2 linked regions of the Arabidopsis thaliana genome follow. The protein of the gene in region 2 interacts with the protein of the main gene of each other region in a pairwise test. Each region holds a gene or a part of one and is shown on either strand. Other genes may lie near its edges.

Region 1 (5,719 bases), about 19 Mb from region 2:
TCTCTTTGAAGAACTTGGTTTGTACTACATTGGTCCTGTTGATGGACACAACATTGAAGATCTAGTTTGTGTTCTCCGAGAAGTATCTTCTCTAGATTCAATGGGTCCTGTGTTGGTCCACGTGATCACAGAGGGAAACCGAGATGCAGAAACCGTAAAGAACATCATGGTCAAAGGTATATCTGTCTGGTTATGTTATTTTTTCTGAGAATATATGCTTATCCAAAATCTTGACTTTGTAGTTTTTTTTTTTGTCTCAGACAGACGCACTTACAGTGATTGCTTTGTTGAGGCTTTGGTGATGGAGGCAGAAAAGGATAGAGATATTGTTGTAGTTCATGCAGGAATGGAGATGGATCCGTCACTTCTTACATTTCAGGAGAGATTTCCAGACAGATTTTTCAATGTCGGAATGGCTGAACAGCATGCTGTCACATTCTCTGCTGGTCTTTCTTCTGGAGGTCTCAAGCCATTTTGTATTATTCCCTCTGCTTTTTTACAAAGAGCTTATGACCAGGTTTCACTTTCCTCTAGCACAAAATAAAATTGTTCTAAAAGGTTTTTATTACAAGCAAATGGCCTTAGTGTCTTTGATGGTTTCTTTAGGTGGTCCATGATGTAGATCGGCAGAGAAAGGCGGTGCGATTTGTTATTACAAGCGCAGGGCTTGTTGGATCCGATGGTCCAGTGCAGTGTGGAGCTTTTGACATAGCTTTCATGTCATCCTTACCAAACATGATAGCCATGGCTCCAGCCGATGAGGATGAGCTTGTAAATATGGTTGCAACTGCTGCTTATGTCACTGACCGCCCAGTATGTTTCCGGTTCCCTAGAGGCTCCATCGTCAACATGAATTATCTTGTCCCCACTGGATTACCAATTGAAGTAAGTTCCAATCTAATCTTCAAATCTTTTGGTTGCAAAAACAGACCGTGGTGACACAAGAACTGCTTTATCATATTAGAGTAGATCGGAAGAGGAAGAGTTCTCGTAGAAGGTCAAGATGTGGCTTTACTTGGTTATGGAGCGATGGTTCAGAATTGTCTTCATGCTCACTCGCTTCTCTCGAAACTCGGTTTGAACGTGACTGTAGCTGATGCAAGATTTTGCAAACCCCTAGACATCAAGCTTGTGCGTGATCTTTGTCAGAACCACAAATTCCTTATCACTGTCGAAGAAGGCTGTGTTGGAGGGTTTGGTTCTCATGTGGCGCAGTTCATAGCCCTCGATGGCCAGCTCGATGGGAATATCAAGGTAGAGAGACAAATCAAAACCTCATGTTCTCACCTGTTTTTGGTTTTAAGTTGTAATTTTGCTCTTAACATTGTGTAGTGGAGACCCATTGTGTTACCGGATGGCTACATAGAAGAAGCATCGCCTAGGGAGCAGCTTGCTCTTGCAGGGCTAACTGGACATCACATAGCAGCAACCGCTTTGAGTCTTTTGGGCCGAACTCGTGAAGCATTGCTTCTCATGAGCTAGCTTAACCTTCTCATATGGGATTTACCTTCACAAGAGACTTAAAGAGGAGTTTCTTAAACAGAATTTGTAGATAATACATTCTGAATTCAAGAGCCCATTTGATATCCTGATTTTGGAATAGCAATCTGCTATGTATTGTAAATGTAGAGTTGAGAATTGACTAAAATAAATTCAATTACTTTTTAGGCGGTATCTCAGTTTTCATATTCTCAGTTAGTTGTTGTTGTTGTTGTTGTTGTTGTTGTTGTTGTTGTTGTTGTTGTCAAGTCTATTTGGTGTAACAGTCGCATGTCCCAAATCTGGAAACAAACAAAATATAGAACAGAGACGTGTATTTTCGATACTCGAGTTTTTTTTTAATAAAAGCATCTTAAAAAATTAGTAAAGAGTTACTGTCAAACAATATTCGTTTAATTACAAATCCGAGTCCTTCTTCTTCTTCTTCTTCTCGATCTCTGTATCTCTCGATCATTTCCTTCTAAAGGAAGCGTCTTTGATCTTAATCGTCGTGTCGTTCGTTTCTAACTGTAAGTTTTCTCCTTTTCATTCATTTTGCTTCAATCTCGATCGGAATCAAGTAAAAAATCGGAACTTTTACCTAGATTTCCTCAGGAATCGAAAAGTTCTTGTGATTTAGCAGAACCTCTATTGTTTCCGATCTCTTAATTCAATTACTTGACAAAAGTGATTATACTTTCTCTGTTGCAGTTATATTGAAAGATGGAAACAGAAACGGAACATGATAGAACTGTCTCTGTCGATGACAACGACAGCCTTGTACCTGAGCCAAGCTCAACGAAAGAAAGCTTTTTTGAAGATCTCTCGCTTACTGGGCAAGTTATGAATCCTCAACTTTCAAGTGCAGGCGAAGTTTTGACAAAAGTTGAATTGGATTTTGCTTTTGTCTCTGAGAAATTGGTCAATCTTAGTCTTCTTACTATGCAACTCGGCACGAGGGAAAATGATTTTGAGTCTTTTGTTTCTAAGAAAGAAGAAGATGAAGAAGAGCCTTCGAGTAATGTTGATGATGATGATGATTCTGCTGAGAAGGCATTGGAGTTTGATCTCTTGTCTTCAATTCTCAATTCAGAGGTGAAAGAACTTGAATCGCTTCTTGGTTTTCTCCAGAACGAGATTCAAAGCGCCCGTGTCATGATATCTCCGTTTCAACATGATGGAGAAGCTTTCTTGGATTTGGAAGGGAAGTTGAATGATACTGAACAATCTTTGGGTCAGTTAATGGAACAAGTAGTGGAAATGAAGAAGCAATCTTCTAACTTTCAGAGGTTATCTTCTGGTTTGGATGAACAAGGAAGCTGTAAGTGACCAATCTAGCTTTCTTTTTAACCTTGTTGTGATGATCACTTGGTGAGAAAAATTTCAGGCTTTAATGAATACTATATAACTTTGTTTTTGCAGGGTCTGGAGGGCAAACTTCAGTGTCTCAAAACGATGGTGAGTTTGGTGATCTGAGCGCTAAGATCAATATGCAGACTGCTGATCAGCAAAGGAATGTTTTAAGGATGCTTGAGAAATCTTTGGCTAAGGAGATGGAACTTGAGAAGAAACTAAGTGAATCAAGAAATACTGAACGAGAACTAGAGATGAAACTGTATTCTTCTGAGCAGGATGTTGTCTACATGGAAGAAGTAACCGAAGATGCGTTCTCCAGGTGGCTTGAGGCAGATAATGCTGCTGAAGTCTTTAAGGGAACGTCAAAGGAGATGTCTGGAAAACTCCAGATTCTTCAGTTCAATCTAAGTGGCTCTTTTAAGCGGGAAGACAACTTGAAGTCTAAGCTTGTTGATTCAAAGGAACGTTTAGAAGCTAAGGAATGCGCCTTGCACAAGCTTGATAGCAGCAATGCAAGACTTGCTGACTTTCTTGTGGCACAAACAGAAGGCTTAAAAGAGAGTTTGCAAGAGGCTGAAGAAAAATTGATTTTGTTGAACACTGAGAATTCCACATTAAGTGAGAAAGTTAGCTCCCTTGAAGAACAACTGAATGAATATGGGATTCAAACAGAAGATGCGGATGCTACTTCTGGTGCTCTGATAACAGATCTTGAACGTATCAACGAGGAACTGAAAGATAAATTAGCCAAAACTGAAGCAAGGGCTGAGGAAACAGAATCCAAGTGCAAAATCCTAGAAGAAAGCAAAAAGGAGCTTCAAGACGAGTTGGGGAATTTCAGAGACAAGGGCTTCACTATACATAAGTTAGCATCGCTTGAGAAACACTTGAGGGACTCAGATCTACAACTAGAACATGCAGTTGCAGCTGTTGAAGCAAGTAAAGAAAAGCAGAACTTGTTATATTCTACTGTTTCTGATATGGAGGATGTGATCGAGGATCTAAAATCAAAAGTTTTGAAGGCTGAAAACAGGGCCGACATTACCGAAGAGAAGTTGATCATGGTATCTGAGTCTAACGCAGAGGTCAACGAAGAACTGAAATTCTTTAAGGGTAGATTGAAAGAAGGGGAGAAATATTTACAGCAAGCAGAAGAAAGAAAATTGCGAACCGCCAAAGATATCGGGGTACATAACAAGATCATGAAAAAACTGGTCATGCAACTAGCTGCTGAACGAGAACGACTTCATAAACAGGTATTACCATATTCGTAAAACCCCAGTTCGCTGTTAGTTCATGTCCTTGTAGCTTCATCATCATCACAGTGGATTCTTAGATATAGTGACTTATTTGCAGATAACTAACCTGTCAAGAGAGAATTGTGTGTTGATGGTGAAGTTGAAAAAGGTTGGAAAAACTGGTTATATGGAAAGTGGCAATGGAAGTGAAGTTTCACCAAAGTCGGACCAGAATGCTTCTTCTTGCCATCAAGGAAGTAGACTTCAAGCCACCTTCATTTCATTAACTAATCCAGAGGTAACATAATTCTACCTTACAAAAAATCTGATCTTTTGCTGGCATCTAAGTGAGTTATACCATTAAGCTTTAGTCCAACAATCGAATATTATGAATCTAAGCTTGACGTTAGTAACCGTGGTCACCTTTTTGTAGGAGGAAGAAACAGGTTCAAAATCAGATATTGGAAGTGTAAGGAGATTAGATGTTGGAGCTCTTAGGTTCAAACACATTCTCGTTGCAATACTCGTGATCTTAATATCGTCGATAGCTTATGTTATATCCCAGCAAAACATGTAAGAGTCTTTAACTTTTTCCAAAATCTCAGTCTCCAGTTTTGTACTCTCTTTGTCATAGTTTACAATGACAGATTATATTTTAGTTCTTTTTGGCTACCCAGTTACAGAAAATCTGCTATATAATTAACCCCGACACTGGTATTTTGTGTTATTACAATATCTTTTTCAGTGTCAAGTATTAGTACCTCTCTACACATTAGTCCTTAATCTCTGCAATATGATTAAGACCATCCAATACTTGTTGCATCAATGGCCGTTTCTTTGTATTATGCGCTGTGCATCGGTTGATGAGTGTGCCCATCTGTGTCGCCGCATTCGCAGAATAATCGCTCCCAAGTCGGGGATCGATTATTTCCTCAATCTTATAATTATCTGGCAAGAAAGATGAGGTCCAGTAATCTACTAAGCCTTGCTCTTCCTTAATCTTTTTTCTATCCTTGGAACCCATTAAAAGTTCAAGCAAGATCATACCAAAAATGTAAACATCGGTCGTCATATCCAAAATACCTAACACATACATTACACAATTGTCTTAACGTTGAACAACGAAAGATTTTTCAGAATTTGTAAAACGAAAGTTAATGCTTTCGTGTACCTAACGATCCCCATTCAGGAGATAGGTATGTAAATCTTCCCCTCTTGAGACCTTCATCTACCAAGCTTCGTTTGGTTGGTTCGAGATAGAACAGTTTTTGCATTGTATTGCTGATGAAATCCAAACTTAGATATTAATTTCTAAGATCATAAACAAAAAGAGAGAAGAAGGATGGAAATAAAACAATTACCACCTCGTCAAGCATAATGTTATGCATCCTGAGTTCTCGGTTTAGGGGGCTGTTCTTGATCGAGTGAAGAAACGCGAGACCTTGAGCTGTTCCAATGGCTATCTTAACCCGTATTTCCCATGGCAATGCCTCTTCTTCTTCTGTTGAGGGAAACGTAAAACTATAGGTAATGCAATAGTTGTCTATATCTTAGAATGGACCCATTAGCTAGAAAAGATCTTAACTTCCGAAAATGTGACTGTCCAAACTTCCTTTGTGCGAGTATTCAAATACCAAGAAGAATGG
Region 2 (4,885 bases):
ATGATCTATTATAGTTCAAGTTGTTGTTAGTGTGGTATTTTTTTACAATTTCTTAGCATATGTTACATACCCCAAATTTGAGTTTTGAAACACACCAAATTTGAAAGAAAGAATCAAATCTCTCTTCATTACACTAAGAAAAGAGACCAAACTATGGTAGGTCCAAATTTGTAAAATGATTTGGATATAAATCCAAAGATCATCACATTAAGACACCTATGAGTGAGTCTAAGATGAATAATAACTTCTTCTTTTTTTTAAGTATATTTGATCAAATTGATTATTGGTTTGCAAATCTAAAACTCTTCAAGACGTGGGCATTGTTAAGTGTTGTTGGAACAAACCAACATTAAGATGGCTGTTTATAGTCAAATTGTCAAAAGTCTCCACTTGCAGCTAATGACATAAGACCACTTCTATGTGTCATCACAAACAACACACCACACAATATATTCACACAACTATATTGAATTCTTCTTATTTATAAACTCTAAAGAGCTTACAATGAATATATATTAAGACCGACTCAAATTATTTAAAGGTTATGTGCAAATTTTCATTGTACATGTGAATATCTAAACTTTTTTCACTTGTGTGTTTATATATCTTATCTTCTGTATTTCATTATTTCTTATTTACTAAAGAAATTATGGAAAATGATGGCAAAGTTGACAAAGAGGCAACAATTTTATACATACACACTGACGTCATGACAATGCAGCACGCAGAAACACAAAGTAGAAAGCAAAGAAGAGTTGGGTCTATTGGAGCCAAAATGTTACAATATATATAAATACAAAACTTGTATAAATATAGATAAAAACAGATTCCATCAAACAAAACTATCATGTGGGAACAGCAATCTCCGGTTCTGGTAACAGAGAATAATACAGTATAAAGAGCAAGCCTAACTGTAGAAGAAGACATCTAGTGGTCTTAAATGCTCTCTTCTTCAGGCACTCCACTTCTTGAATCTCTGTGATCTCTACACAATGGTTTTGTAAATCTTGAGCTTGATTCTTTAGATTCTCAGCTTTTGTTTCTGCTTTATCAAGCTTTGATAGCCCCAATGTCTTCTCTTCTTCAATCAGTTTGATCCGTCTCTTTAGGTTTCCCACTGATCTTGAGAATATGATATATTCAATCTCTGCCTCCACCTTTTGCTGGAAGATGTCTTCTATCCCGATCTCTGTTCCTCCGTTACACGTCTCTGAAACGTTTATGGTAGATTCGAGTTCACGGATTTGTGTTTCTTTAACCTCGAGAATACGCTTTGCTTCTTCTAGTTTGATCTCCAGATGCTCTACATTGTTCACCAGGTTTAGTATCTCGGAATCTAGAGAAGTTAATTCCATTTCTCCCATCTTTTCAGACCCAAACCGGTAAGAAGAGCTTGCTTCACTAGCTCCTTCGTGTCCTGCGTGTATGCAACTGCTGCTTTCTCCTCCATCATGCAGTGATGTTATAGGTTCTTCTTTCCCAAGCTCTTGGAATTTTTGAAGTTCTGAAAAGGGAAAAAGAACAGGAGTTTAGTCAAACTCGAAACACAATCATGTTAATATTACACGGCATCATAAGGAACCAGTGTTAGAGTCATTCAAGTTTTAGTTGATTAGGACTACTACAATGCAGCAACAATCAAATTCCAAATGAAAATCTGTATTTATGAAATTGATACCTTTTTGGAGGGCTTCTTGCAAAGTCTGGAAACTGTTGACGGCTACTATTAATGGATCCAGATTGTCTGATGAACCATTGCTCTTGATTTGAGACTCTTCAACACAGTCTCCTTGTGAATAGTCTTCTGTTTCTTCTTCTTCTTCTTCCACGTTATCCTTTCTCTTCGAAGTATGTGCGTCATGATCACTATTTTCATCGTCATAATCCATCATTCTTCTTCCGCCTTGTTCTCTGCTACTCAAACTATAGGAAGCACCCTGCATAAACACAAAGTTGGAGCTTCTTGAGTCAGCAGATTCCATGCTGGAATGAGAGTTTTCCTTCTCAATTTTGATCCTTTCTCCTCTAAGTTTATTACTCTTCTCTACACTACTCTTCCTTTGTTGACTACTATCCCCCGAACTAATCACACTCTTCCCACCCGAGACCTTTCCTCTATGTTTGTCCCAAGAATGACTCATTGTACTACTCCGATCCTCACTGTTATCCGAATCAACACCAGCTGCAAAAGCAAGACCATTGCCATAACTCTCCCCACCCATTACAAAACCAACCACACTATTCACCGAGCCAACAGAACCAACACTATCTTGTCTAACTTCAGGTCCTGGCAAATGCATTTGTTTAGCATTCGGATCAACTAATCCTGACAACACCCTCTTCAGAGCTTTACTATTCTCCATACTCACAGAAGTATCATCCTTAACAAGATCTCTCCTTAACCTCCTCTTCCATTTTCTTAAACCAAATCCTTTTGATATAAGAGGAGAAGTCTCAACCGGTGAATTCAACTCTTTATCAAGATCACCAATCAAACCATTATTATCTTCAACAGATTCAAGAACAGAGCTTTCACTCTCCAAATCCATGACGACGCCACAAAAATACTAACTTTTCACATGGGATCAATCTCAAGACTAAACAACCACCATTCCAGTAAGAACCAGAGGCAAATTCAATAAAACCAAAATACGAAAACAAAAATGAAGCAATAGGGTTCTCTAAATTCAACTCAATTCCCAGATTAATCACATTTACGAAAGCCAATGAATCGAAAGTTTCGAGCTTGACGTACCTAATAAAATGGAACGCAAAACCACTCAAAGGTGAATCCTTTACGAAGAGACCGAAACGAAATTAGAAGACGATTTAAACGATTCGCAGAGATCTCTCTCTATATCCGTTGATTGTGGAAAGTTTCGTTGCGAAAAATCGTTTTTTTTTTCCCGGTTACGATCAAAAAACATTTTGATTCGTTTCCTTTTTTTTGTAATAGAGAAATACGAACGTGTGAGCGACATGGTCGGGACACGTGGCGAAACCGCTGGATACTTCAGCAACTACTCGGATATTTTATGACCGTTCGATTCGACGTGATCTTATCTGGTCGGATCTGGAATTCAACGGTGTGTGATATACCGTTAGGACTTTAATATGATCTCGACTATTTTACTAATTTACCCTCGTCTTTCTAACTTCTTCAGTTTTGACGTTTACATCTTTTCTATATACAGTGGTTGCCGTTTTTAGGTATGGAAACAACGAGACTTATCCTTGAGCGTTTGATAAACGCTTCCACATCGTTTGATAACGAGACTTTTCTACATACAGTATCAATCTTGTTTTGTTCATACGTCACACACTCCAAGATTTTGATGGTAAATTTTTTGTTTTTGTGTGTGTGTGTGTGTAATGTGTATGTTTTTAAAGTCCCTTATGATTGTAGATAAATGTGAAAATGTGTGGGGTAAATAAATAAAAAGTCACAAGTGGACTGGTCTTGGACCAATTCCCACTGTGAAATCAGATTTCAAATGTTGTGTCAGTGTACACATACATACATGCACCACCTTGAATTAAAAAAAAAAGATAATTACTCGATTATGAGGAGTTTATCTTACAAATTACAATATACTAAAATGTTATTGATAAGAAAAATTGTCAAATACTACTAGGTTACTACTTATGTTATGTTAGTACTATTGTTAGAAATTTAGTTCATAATCACATAGTGGAAGGAATTTCACTTACTTAGAACCCAAAATATGTTTTACGTAAAATATTCTCTTGACATTTTTCTCCTATTAATTGCAGCAATGATAGTATTATATGATTCAATACTCAATATAGTACAATGTTTGGAGTTTTCTATAGACCACAAAATACAAACAGTAAATGACAAACAACCAAAGTACTAAGAAAATTGAAAATGGTTCCCTTTCTTCAATCCTACAACCTCTTTTAAGCTCAAAGTTCAATGTCTTAAATCTGACTCTTGTCTATTTAACTCTCTTAAATCCAATGTAACCCATGTTATATTTATACTTCTCTAATAACTCGATCTTAAATAAAAACTGGAGTCTTCTTGGTAAACTAAAGAAGAAAAAAAAACTCATTAAAAATTTCCAGAAAATGCAGAGGAGGTTGAGAGAAGAGAGAGAGGAGAGCTAAAAACAAATGACATAAAGGAGAATCCAAGATTATAAATTTAAGTTAATTATAAAATGGTTTTTGATTAAGTGGGTGATCATTATAAAATGACATTGGTACATGTTTAGACATTAACCATCTCCAGGCTGCTTCTCTCTTAACCATTTCTTTAATCACTATTTTAAAAACAAATTAATGTCCATAAGCACTTTCAGATCCAACTCACAACTCCAGATTCTTCTCCCTCTTCATTATCACAATCTTCTGCTCTTCCTCAAAAAGAAACACAGAGAGAAAGATAGACGAGAGAGACAGGCTTGGTAATGAAAAGATATGCAGGGGAAGTGACACGTCTTTTTTTGCCTTGTGTCTGAAAAAGATCAAACAAAAGGGTAAGTCTTTAAGAAATCATCTTTAAAGATTTGACTAATATGTTGCTTTTTCATTGTTGGTCCTAGCTAGAGAGTAAAAAGATTCAATCTTGTTAATGATGATGAACATTAGACCACAAACTCAATGTAAAGCAATGATTTTTCTTCTGACCCGTGACCTCTCCATTGTTGCAGAGACTCTCTGAAACTGGCTTGGTGTTGTTGGTCAAATCTGAAGTAAGAGGAGGAGGAGAAATTAAATAAAGAAAAGAAGAAAACACAAATTGGGTTTCAACAGTGTTGTAGAAGAGGGACCCCACAAAATGGAAGAGTTAGATACATCACATGCAGTTTCTCAGATTTTACCTCAATCTCATTGAACTGCATCAACTGTTGCATTCATG

What was found.
Region 1: the proteins of WIP2 (region 2) and WIT1 interact in a two-hybrid assay, tested with the Arabidopsis thaliana proteins (one study listed by BioGRID).

The regions. Positions count from the first base shown.
Region 1 is NC_003076.8:3,631,769-3,637,487, forward strand, and holds WIT1 (WPP domain-interacting protein 1), read left to right. Parts: upstream 1-1,880; 5' UTR 1,881-2,009; intron 2,010-2,190; 5' UTR 2,191-2,202; coding exon 2,203-2,800; intron 2,801-2,901; coding exon 2,902-4,091; intron 4,092-4,191; coding exon 4,192-4,371; intron 4,372-4,506; coding exon 4,507-4,650; 3' UTR 4,651-4,845; coding exon of another isoform or gene 4,846-5,156; 3' UTR 5,157-5,166; downstream 5,167-5,719. Other genes in the region: DXPS3 (1-deoxy-D-xylulose 5-phosphate synthase 3), read left to right, coding at 1-176, 261-517, 607-885, 970-1,254, 1,333-1,482; AT5G11400 (Protein kinase superfamily protein), read right to left, coding at 4,846-5,156, 5,245-5,354, 5,508-5,574, 5,659-5,719. UniProt on the Arabidopsis thaliana protein: Together with WIT2, required for the nuclear envelope docking of RANGAP proteins in root tips.
Region 2 is NC_003076.8:22,749,815-22,754,699, forward strand, and holds WIP2 (WPP domain interacting protein 2), read right to left. Parts: upstream 3,004-4,885; 5' UTR 2,550-3,003; coding exon 1,679-2,549; intron 1,505-1,678; coding exon 846-1,504; 3' UTR 648-845; downstream 1-647.